Linked DNA regions of Rattus norvegicus. The protein of the gene in region 1 binds, or shares a complex with, the protein of each later gene. Links are inferred from orthologs where the notes say so. Each region holds a gene or a part of one and is shown in the gene's direction. Other genes may lie near its edges.

Region 1 (5,195 bases):
CCTCAATGAAAATAGAGTAAGAAAGGGGGTGTGAGAGGGGGAGGGGAAGGGTGGGAGTTGGGGTGGAGGATGCCAGGAAAGAGGGCTTGTGAGTGAGATGTTTAAGGCTACTTGGCCTCCTGGTGTTTGGGCATGGTAGAAAAGCAACCACCCCCCCAGAGGGACAAGAAAGGGGTCATAAAATTAAGACATATGAACCCCAGGTTCTGTGACAAGGAAGACTGGGGCTTCTTATAACAGGCAGGCTGAGCCTGAGAAATATGGGACCTTGGTGGAAAGGAGCCAGATGTGTCCAGCTGTGGAGGAAGGGTTGGGACGTGTTCACAGACTCACGAGACAACACTTCCCATTTCTGGTCCCTGGGCTAGCAGGGTCTACACAAGGAAGCACAGTCCTGTTTGTAACCTTGAGAATTCAAACTTCTACAATAAGGGTTTTCTGCATCCTGCTGAACCCATTACCCGCATCTCACTTGTAGATGTTCCCACAATCCCCTGGGGCTTGATCCATTGGGCAGTTCTTCCTTCCATTCTGGGTCATTTCGGAATCACCAGGCCCGGGCTGTAGAGTGGACTGGTAGAGATGACCTCAGTGGTTCTCTATGCTGAAGGCTACCCAAGCCTGGCCACTTACCTTCCTACCCACCTACCTTTCCTGGCTCGAATGCCTGGCTCTCAGCTGTGGCAAAGAGCAGCACTGACTGCTCTTGCCGAGGACCCCATTTGACTCCCAGCACCCACGTGGTGGCCAGCAGCCAACTGTTAGCTCTAGTTCCAGGGCATCTGACACCCTCTTCTGGAGTCTGCAGGCACCAGGCACACGTGTGGGACACATAGATACAGGGGAGCACGACACCCACGCGCATAACAGAACACCAGGCTGCCAGTCCCGGTGCTGTAGTTGACTGAGCCTCAACTGAACTCCTACAAACCCCTCCAGTGATGGGATTTGCACAGTCCACCAGGCCACTGGAAAGACGGGCACTCCCAGGCAGATATTTGCCCTTTCCCTGTGATGAAGTCTCAAAAGAAGGCCCTGGTGTCAAAGTCACAGAGTAATGGACCTCAGTGTGTGCAAAGGAAAGAGTAGGCTGGCCGGTCTTTTGTTTCTTATTGAGGATCATGTGGGAGGAAAAGGGTGCAAACCCTAATTTATATCTTCTACCCTGCAATTAAAGATTAACGATCATAGCCAGGCCAGTCCAGGCCGGTCTACCTCCTGTGGCTCATGAGTTCTGTCCATCCTAGCTCTCACCAAACAGTAATTCCAACCCAACATTCCAGGGTGCAGATGCCTTTCTCCCTCCCATGTCCATCTTGGGCTCCTGTAATATATTGTACCCGAGTATAACAGACTCCTAGACCACGATGAGCTCAGGAAACACCTACGATGACTGTGTGTACAGTCCGTATTTCTTGAGACCATTAGCCACAGACTGTGACTGAAGGAGGGATTTATTTCTAGAGGCCAGAAGCTAAAGTCAAGGTGTTGGCAGTGACGCACGCCCTTTGGGGGCTTTGTGGGAAGGGTCTCCTCCCACAGCATCATGCCTTCCTCAGTTGGGGCTGTCCTCAAGCCTTCGCTCTGGTTGGTTAGGACCACCATTTGTGTGCACACTGCACTGGACTCCACCTGGCTAATTCAGAACGAACTCCTCCTCTTTAAGCCTCAGTTTAATTGTAGAGTGGGTGGCAGGTTCCCAGGATTTGACCTGATATTGGGGGAAGGGCAGGCAGTCCCTATCCCCCAATTTAGCTGATCCCAGGAGCTAACAGGACAGGGCTGTTCCCAAGTCTTGTTTCCAGTGAGAATCCCATCTCGTCCAACGCTCCACTCCTAGCCACTCGTTCCACCCAGTGGCACCAAAGTAGCATGTATGTTTCGAACAAAGAACGTGGAACTAGAGACAGATGAGATTCTAGGACAGGTAAGGACAGGTGACCCATTTAAGTAGGCATTAGGCCTATCCCGGAAAATACCTGTAAGACGTTAGATCGATTGATTGTTTCTCTTTCTCTTTAGCCTGAGAATTACTAGTAAAAGCAAGGAGGCGGGGCTTTCCGATCTGCCCGGACCCAGCTTCTGCTTTTCCAGCTGTGGCCACATCAGGCCTGTGCGCCAGGAGGATGAAGACGACCCTGAGCTGGGGAAGGAATCCTGCTGCTCTCCGCCCCCAGACTACAACTCCGTGGTGTTGTACTCCTCCCCGCCTGCTTAGTGCTTCTCACAAGCCCCAGACAACAGCCTCTGACAGTATTATACATATATGAGTTTACACCTATTCCGCTCCTCGGGAGCCAGCTGCTTCTCGTGACTTTTAATCGTGCTTTTTGTTTTGTTTGTTGTCGCTGTTTTGACTAACAAGAATGTAACCCCCAGATAGAGCCACGTGAGGAAAACACTATTGTTCAATCCTCCTGTGACTCCACGTTAGAGAAATCCTTTCTAAGTCCCAACGGCTCGGCTCACCTGCTTCAACCCCCCAAAGCCTCAGGGTAACTTGGACAGGAAGGTGCTGGTGCCGCCCCGCCCACGCTGGCCATGGCCCCACCCACCCTCCCTGCAGCTGTGGGACCAGACCCAGTAAGTCATTAGCTCAGGGCAGCGTGCTCTGGGTCCCTTTCTGAGGAAAGGGAGAACAGCAAACGAGAGAGGCACAGGAAAAGGCCGTGGGCTGCATCCTGTGGAGCCGGTGCAGGAGAGGGCTCTGCTCTGCTACTTCAGTGACTTGTCACTTCTGGCCTCTGCTTTTTCAGGCCCCCTTCCAAGAGGTTACAGAGCAGAACGTGTGGGGTGTTTCCCAGACCAGGGGGCACATGTTCTCGGGAACCACAGTAAATCTTAAATCTTTTCCCGGGAGTCTTCTGTCTCTGTTCGCCATCCAAAGCACGTTTAGTATGTGTCAGTGAGGGTGGCGCTTGGCTCTGCGGCCATACCCACCATCAGTTTCTCTAGCGAGATGCACTGAGGTCAGACCCAAGCTTGGAGTCCTGACCTTAGCATACTGCTCACACGGGGTTAAGTGGTCCAGTTTGGCCTAGTAAGGTTGCCTACCAATGGGCTCAAAAGTCACCTTTTAAACAGGCTTCATTTCAAGTATTAATATACAGACAAGACACTTTTGCATTACCTTGCTTTATATAGTTAGCTATCCAGGGAAGCCGGGGTGACTTAAGAGTAATGGTCTAGAAAAGGGTTTTCTCTGTACCCAGACCCGGCTCGATGGGCTAAGACCTGGTAAGACAGAGTGGGTGCTCCATGTATAATCGCCAAACCACACACCTGAAGTTGGCACCTCACCGCCTTTTACTTCATCGTGTGTTTCCCCTTCTCAAGGCAGTCTGAGAGGAGCAGAATAGCATCAGCCCATGTTTGGTAAGCACTTTATGCTCCTCGACAGAACAGGCGGTGTTCTCTACGGCTCTCTCTACAGCTGCGACTCAGGTTAGTCAGTGAGCCATCAAAAGGAAAAAAAAATCTTTTCATCTGTTTCGGACCTTGCCTGGGGTCTAACAATGATGAGGACAGGGTAGAAAAGGGAAGACAGGGTAGAAAAGGGTGCCCTCTCTTTGGAGTCTAGAGATTGTGAGCCCTGGGTCTCTAAAATGGCTCTTAGAAGCTGTGTGTGCAAATTGAGGGGTGGGGTGGTCTGAGTGTTTAGGTCGTGTGCACCTGCTGGAGCCTCGCGGCTGGGCAGACGATGAATAGCTGCTTCGGGAGAGCGGACCACGCTTGACGCTAAGCTCTCTGCCCTGAACGGTAGCACGTGAGCCTGCTTCCCAGTGTACCACATCCTTGAGGTTCTTTGTCTGATGAGACTGGAGACTCAGCGCAAGCCCCATCAAGGTGGTCTGCAACCCACGGTGGCCAGGATTAGACACGAAAGAAAGGGCTTCCCCAGCCACACTGGAGATAAAGAAATCAGGTAGGGCCGGGCAAAGAAATCTTTGTTCAATTAGAAAAGCTCTTGTCCACTGCGGTGTGTAAATCAGGGATTAGACAGAGTCTACCAGAGAAACGGATGCTATAGCCAGCATCCTGTGATTTCTCAGCCAAATATCCAGCAATTAGAGGGGGATAGCCAGTCCTGTATTATTCCAATTTTAATCATCTAATTCTTAATCATTAAGATGCTTTAGTAAATGTCCCTTTTCCACAAAAGTAAAGAAAGCCTATTGGGATTCTCTGGTTCTGTTTAAGGACAGCTTTGGAGCCTATGGAAGTTGATTAGCCAGAAAAAAGGAAAGAAAGGAAGAAAGAAAATGGTTCCTCCTGAGTTTTTAAGGTAGGAAGAAAAATGGAAATCTATAAAGACAGCCATACCTAGGTGCACTGTGCCTGTTCACCAAAGCCAGCATTGGATGGTAAGAGTCTTGACAGTGACATTAAAACCCTTTGCCATTCAAGGCCAAGCAGTTGGAACTAAGGAAGAGCGAACATTTCTCCTAGTGTTTGGGACTCGCCCTGTGTGACTAGGGAGCTGAAGCCTCAGGCAAGTCTAAGCTAGCCCGAGGCGGATCCTTAGGAGACAGATCTGGTCGAACCCCGTTGCACAGGTCTTCGAGCAGTGAAGGGGGGGGGGGCAGCTCAGTGAAGGGAGAGGGCACCTCTGACCCACAGTGGTAGGAACTGTACGTGTATGTGTGTATCTGTATGTTTTGTGCATAACTATTTAAAGAAACTGGAATTTTGAAGTTACTTTTATATGAGTCAAGATTATTTGCTACAGACCTGAGACATGATCTGGCCACACCTTTCTAGTCATGATGAATGTATTTCATATATTATCTTCATTTAATAAAATTAACTTTCAAAACCAAGTTGGTTTTTTTGTTTGTTTGTTTTGTTTTTAAGTTTTTTTGGTAAGTGGGGTCAAAGGGGTGGGAGGAAGTCTTAGGTGTGCCTCTGGGTAGGTGGGGGACTGAATCCTGGGGCGGCTTATTAAATACCAATTATCAAGTATGGCTCGAGGAAGACTACAGCAAGCACTGTGGGAGCAAGGGCGTGCAACGCCCCACTAGTCCCACACTGGCTGCCTAGGCCTCGAGATGCTGCACCCTGCACATGGCCCGTGAAACGCAAATTCGTAGAAGTCAATGCTATGGGATTCTCCAGGAGCAGAAGCAACAGAAGGAAATTATACCTACTTTAAAGGGACTTGTGATCGACTAGAGAAAGGCTGGGGGGGTGGAGGG
Region 2 (5,295 bases), on another chromosome or scaffold:
CCACGGAGCCTCAGTACTGTGTGCAGAGGGATGGAGATGGTGGAGTAACCTTTTCGGGGGACCAGTAGGAAGACTGTTGGCTCCCTTTCTCAGAAGCTCAGCAGACCTGGGTGAGGGCTGGGACTGGTTGGTCCCTCTCTTCCCACAGGTATCAGAGCCCCCTCTTGTTCCCAGGGGAGCCTAGGAGCAGCTGGGCCAAAGCCCAACCAGGAATTTTTCCAGGCTGGTTCCTATATCCAAGGGTGGGCTGGAGGTGGGGGCTTTGGGGAGCTCTTAAGGAAGACACGAGGAGGTGAAGGGGACTTTGTGGAAAGGGAGGGGACAGAGCCACACAGGCTAAGTGTACAAGCATAGAGAAATGGCCAAGGGTCCTAGGTAGAATGGGAGGGGGCAGAGTACAACCCTGAACTCTGTTTAGAAGATGAACTGTGAGCCTAGGCTAGAACTGAGGGAGCCTTACCTCTACTCCCATCCTACCCGGAGTTGGTGGCAGCGCTGGGCAGCTGGCCTAACTACGTTTCTGAATGCTAGGGTAGGTTTGAATCACCACGCAGGCCTGGCCTGCTTCTGCCCCCATTGGCACACTGGCCTTAGTTCCCTGGCAACATCTGGGTGTTTGTGTGTGGGGGGTGTGATCAGGAGGAACAAGGGCTTCTGTCTGCCCAGCTGTCTCTCCCTCAGGGCTCTGCCAGACTCCACAGTGCATACGTGGGCTTCCACAGGTCGTCTCCCTCCGGGCCACTGACTAACTGCTCGGCTTCCCGTTCTCAGTGTCACACATTTGATGCCATATCCTCTCCAGAGAAGCCTCTCTGGAAACTTCCCAGGGAATCCCATTCACCCCAGGGCCCTAGTTCCTTATGTATGAAGATCAGACAAGAGCTCAGATAAGCATACTTGCCTTCCACGTAGCCCCCCGCCCCATATATAATCCTAGAGTTTCTGTTTCCGAGGTCAAACAAGCAACTGTTGGGGGGTGGGTGTTAGAAACACGCAACTATTTGGGAAGTCAAAGCCTGCGGTGCTCAACAGTCAACTCTCACCCCCTGTCCAAGACCCGTGCCATTTGAGCCAGAGTTGGGGTGTGCATAATGTAGTCACTAGGGGGCGCTCGGCCATCACGGGGAGATCGTGAACTTGGGCGAGCCGAGTCTGCGTGAGGAAGGACGCGTGTGTCAATGTGAGTGCGTGCGTGCATGTGCGTGTGTGTCTGGGTATAGTGTGTTTGTGAGGTAGGGGAGAAGACCAGGGGTCACTCCGGGTGTCCGTCTCCCCATACGTCCTTGCCAGCTCTCCGCCTCCCCCCCCCCCCACTTTCTCCTACATTCCTGGGAAAGGAAATTGCCCTCACTCTCCTGTCTCCCCTGATTCCCAACACCCTGGGATTCCCAGTGTGTCCCCGAGCCAAGTTTGAAGGGGTGGACAGATAATTCTCAGGCTATGGACCCTGGTAAGGGGTTTAGATTTCTATTTCGCAGTAGTGGCCTAGGGGCTTCTGAAAGGCGGTGCCTGGTTCGGCCTGGCCTCGCCCCCGGGGCGGGCCTGGGGCGGGGCCTTTGGGGGCGGGGCCAGATTTCCTTTTTTTTCCACCGCTGTTACCGGTGAGAAGCGCAGAGGCTTGGGGCAGCCGAGCTGCAGCGAGGCCGCGGCGCTGGGGGCGAGCTGAGCGGCGGCAGCGGAGCTCTGTCGCGAGACGCAGCGACAAGGCAGACTATTCAACGGACTCATCAGCCAGGGAGTCTGTGCTCTGGGATTTGATATTCAAACCTCTTTTTTTTTTCTTAAACTGTATTGTTTTACGCTTTAATTTATTTTTGCTTCCTATTCCCCTCTTAAATCGTGCCAACGGTTTGGAGAGGTTGCTCCTTCACTCCCTCAAATTACTTCGGATTTTGGAAATCAGCAGAGGAAAGAGGTAGCAGGAGCTCCAGAGAGAAGTCAAGGAAGAGAGAGAGAGAGAGAGACCGGTCAGAGAGCGCGCTGGCGAGCGAACAGAGAGAGGGACAGGGGCAAAGTGACTGACCTGCTTTTGGGGGTGACCGCCAGAGCGCGGCGTGAGCCCTCCCCCTTGGGATCTTTCATCGGACCAGTCGCGCTGACGGACAGACAGACAGACACCGCCCCCAGCCCCAGCGCCCACCTCCTCGCCGGCGGGCAGCCGACGGTGGACGCGGCGGCGAGCCGCGAGCAGGAGCCGAAGCCCGCGCCCGGAGGCGGGGTGGAGGGGGTCGGGGCTCGCGGGATTGCACGGAAACTTTTCGTCCAACTTCTGGGCTCTTCTCTCTCCGGAGTAGCCGTGGTCTGCGCCGCAGGAGGCAAACCGATCGGAGCTGGGAGAAGTGCTAGCTCGGGCCTGGAGAAGCCGGGGCCCGAGAAGAGAGGGGAGAAAGAGAAGGAAGAGGAGAGGGGGCCGCAGTGGGCGCTCGGCTCTCGGGAGCCGGGCTCATGGACGGGTGAGGCGGCGGTGTGCGCAGACAGTGCTCCAGCCGCGCGCGCGCCCCAGGCCCCGGCCCGGGCCTCGGTTCCAGAAGGGAGAGGAGCCCGCCAAGGCGCGCAAGAGAGCGGGCTGCCTCGCAGTCCGAGCCGGAGAGGGAGCGCGAGCCGCGCCGGCCCCGGACGGGCCTCTGAAACCATGAACTTTCTGCTCTCTTGGGTGCACTGGACCCTGGCTTTACTGCTGTACCTCCACCATGCCAAGGTAAGCGGTCGTGCCCGCCTGGTGTCGCCGGGCCATGGCGAGCGCCTCTCCCGCTTGGGGACGTGCGTGCGTGCGAGCGCGCGCGTGGGGGGCTTCGTGCCCCACGCGGGTCCTTGGGCACCGGGCGCGAGGCGTCCCCCTCTGTCGTCGTACGTGGAGGGGGAGGGGGTGCGCGCTAGGTGGGAGGGCGCCAGGATAGTCTCGCCGCCCACGCGGGCCCTGCCCACCCACCAGAGTCACCGCACGTACGATCTGGGCCGAGCAGCGGAGGGCGGGAGCCAGAGGAGGAGGCTGAGGGGGCTGGGCTTGCGCCCGAGCTGGCGGCAGAAGTTTGCTCTGGGTCGCGGGTCCCGGGAGAACTGGAAGTCCGGGCAGAGGGGGCGGGAGTCCGGAGCCCAGCGGGCATGCCTGGGGGTGCTCGGACCTTGGACCGGGGGAGGGCAGAGATCGTGGAGGGGGCAGGGCGCCGGCGACCGAGGGGGCTTTGCTGTCACTGCCATTCGGTCTCTTCGGCCTTTGCAGTGAGTTTGGGGAAAGTTTTAGGATGGATTACTGCGGGGACCCTCTCCCACCCCTCTAGCTTGTTGGGCCACCTGCGCCGCGCCACCCCCTCCCGTCCCCGCTCGCGTCCCGCGCGGTGCCCGCCCTCCCCCGCCTGGCCGGGCGCGCGCGGCGCAGAGCCGATTACATCAGCCCGGGCCTGGCCGGCCTCGTGTTCCCGGAGCCGCGGCTGCTGGAGCCCGGAGACCCGGGCGACAAGCGGCGCCCCTCCCCCACCGGCCCTCCGCGAGGAAGGTGACCTCTGGAGGTATCCCCAGCTCCGGGACCGGGAGAAACTCCCATACCCCTTTCCTCCGTTCCCAACTTCTACCCGTGCCTTGCTCTAGGCAGAATTACCCGACGCCCCTTCCCCCTTTCCCCCATTTCCTGCCTGGTGTGCAGAAAAGCCCTTCCCACCCTTTTATATTTTCCTTTTCCTTGCGAAGACTCATCGGACCCTTCCTGGCCCCAGGGCCCAGGAAAAGGACGGTGACTGTCAGACGTGGGGGTGTTGGGGCCCACCCTCGGGTTCTTTGTGGAAACGCTGACCTAAGTTTTGAGTTGGTGAAGGTGTGCTTCCCTCTCCTCCTAGCAGCTCCAGTTAGCTGTGTTTCACCTTTTTTTTGGGGGGGGGGCGGTCAACGAAGGGTGGACTGACATCACCCTATTTCCCCCGTTTTGGAAACATGACTTGATATTTGCTAAGACAGGGGCAGCCTGGAACCAGCCCTTTCCTACTCCTTTGACAGGATCCCTTGTCAGTATCTCACACACACTTTGTCCTGGCAAAGCCTGATGCCCAGAGAGCAGGTGGTTTAACTCTGAACTTACCCACCCAATTTGCCTACTAAAGGGTCCTTTGATGCTCGTTTCCTCTAATTCTCAGCTATAGAGCCTTCTTGGAAAGGAGGCAGAAGGAAGGAGAAGGGCAGGTGTCCCTGCCACCATCCAGAGGTCCCCAGACCCTGGCACAAAGGCCTTGGTTCTGGGCCTTCATGTGGGGAGGAGGGCAGGAGTGCTTGGCCACAGTGTGACCTTCAGAGGCCCCCAGAGAAGGACACCTGGCCAGTCCCTGCCTAGAACCTCCCCATCTGGGAAGGGGTTCAAAGTTTCTGTTTCCTTTCTCCACTGGGGTCTAGACAGAGGAGGAAGGAGAATGTCATGAGGCTATTGAGGGGGTATTTGAGGGCCTGATGAAGTGCAGAATCCAGGACCAACCTGGGGCAGCTGCAGTGGGAGGCTATGTCTTGAGAAGGGCCACCTCTGACCTTGGCCCTGGTGGCAAGGCTGAGGGCCCTGGATGGATTGCTCTTAGGAAAAAGAGACAGAGACAGACCAAGGGTGGGAGTCTGTCCCTCTGGGGCAGTTGGAGGTCCAGGTTGGTGTGAAGCAGGTGGATGGGGAGTTGTAGCAACAGGAGACCCTCAGGAAGGCCAGGAGCCTTGGCTTGCTTGCCACGTCAGGGCCACAGGGCCTTCTTGGTGACCTTCAGAGGTTCTGGGGAGGGGAGAGAGGAACTGGTGGGGATGAGGAAGGTTGGAGGGCTCAGGGTGGGGCAAAGGACCCCCTGGCAGAACTGAGGAGAAAGCTTCCCTGGGTACATTTAAGCAAAGTGCCCTGCCCAGGTGAGAGGCTCCGGGATGTGGGAGTGGGAGGCTAGCCAGGCTTTGGAAGCTGCAATCGGGACCTGGGCAGACCTGGGACCTGGGGTGGGAGGAGAATGGGACTCTCCCTTCCTTAGGAGCTTCCTCCCAGCTTTTCACCCCTTGAGCAACCTGTGGGTATGCTGACTATTCCCCAGGCCTGGGAAGAGTTCAGATGGGGGAGGGTAGTTGGTGCCCTTCTGTCCTCTGCATCTCTCTTCGACTCGAGCTAACCCTGGTATTTGTCATGTCAGCAGGAGAAGGTCACCACGTTGTTTTTCTCGCCCCCAGTCTTTCCTTCCTGCCCCAGTCCAAATTTGTCCTATTTGACCTTAATGCTTACCCATGGCTTGGGACCAGGGAATCGAGGGCAATGGGAAAAGGGACAGGACAAGAACAGGACGGGGCTGGGGG

What was found.
Region 2: the proteins of Flt1 (region 1) and Vegfa are in contact, whole or in part, in a crystal structure (PDB 5T89), measured with the Homo sapiens proteins. The link is inferred for Rattus norvegicus from reciprocal best matches to the Homo sapiens genes FLT1 and VEGFA. Residues at the interface, in NP_002010.2 of Homo sapiens: Ile142, Pro143, Ile145, His147, Leu221, His223, Gln225, Asn227, Asn259, Thr260, Arg261, Val262, Gln263, Met264, Ser277, Val278, Arg279, Arg280, Phe292, Tyr293, Ser315, Pro317; in NP_003367.4 of Homo sapiens: Phe242, Pro246, Asp247, Ile249, Glu250, Tyr251, Ile252, Lys254, Met287, Ile289, Lys290, Pro291, His292, Gln295, Ile297.

Annotation. Positions count from the first base shown.
Region 1 is NC_086030.1:12,499,931-12,505,125, forward strand, and holds the end of Flt1 (vascular endothelial growth factor receptor 1 isoform 1 precursor), read left to right. Parts: coding exon 1-16; intron 17-2,022; coding exon 2,023-2,218; 3' UTR 2,219-4,820; downstream 4,821-5,195. UniProt on the Homo sapiens protein: Tyrosine-protein kinase that acts as a cell-surface receptor for VEGFA, VEGFB and PGF, and plays an essential role in the development of embryonic vasculature, the regulation of angiogenesis, cell survival, cell migration, macrophage function, chemotaxis, and cancer cell invasion.
Region 2 is NC_086027.1:22,451,236-22,456,530, forward strand, and holds the start of Vegfa (vascular endothelial growth factor A), read left to right. Parts: upstream 1-1,618; 5' UTR 1,619-2,095; coding exon 2,096-2,698; intron 2,699-5,295.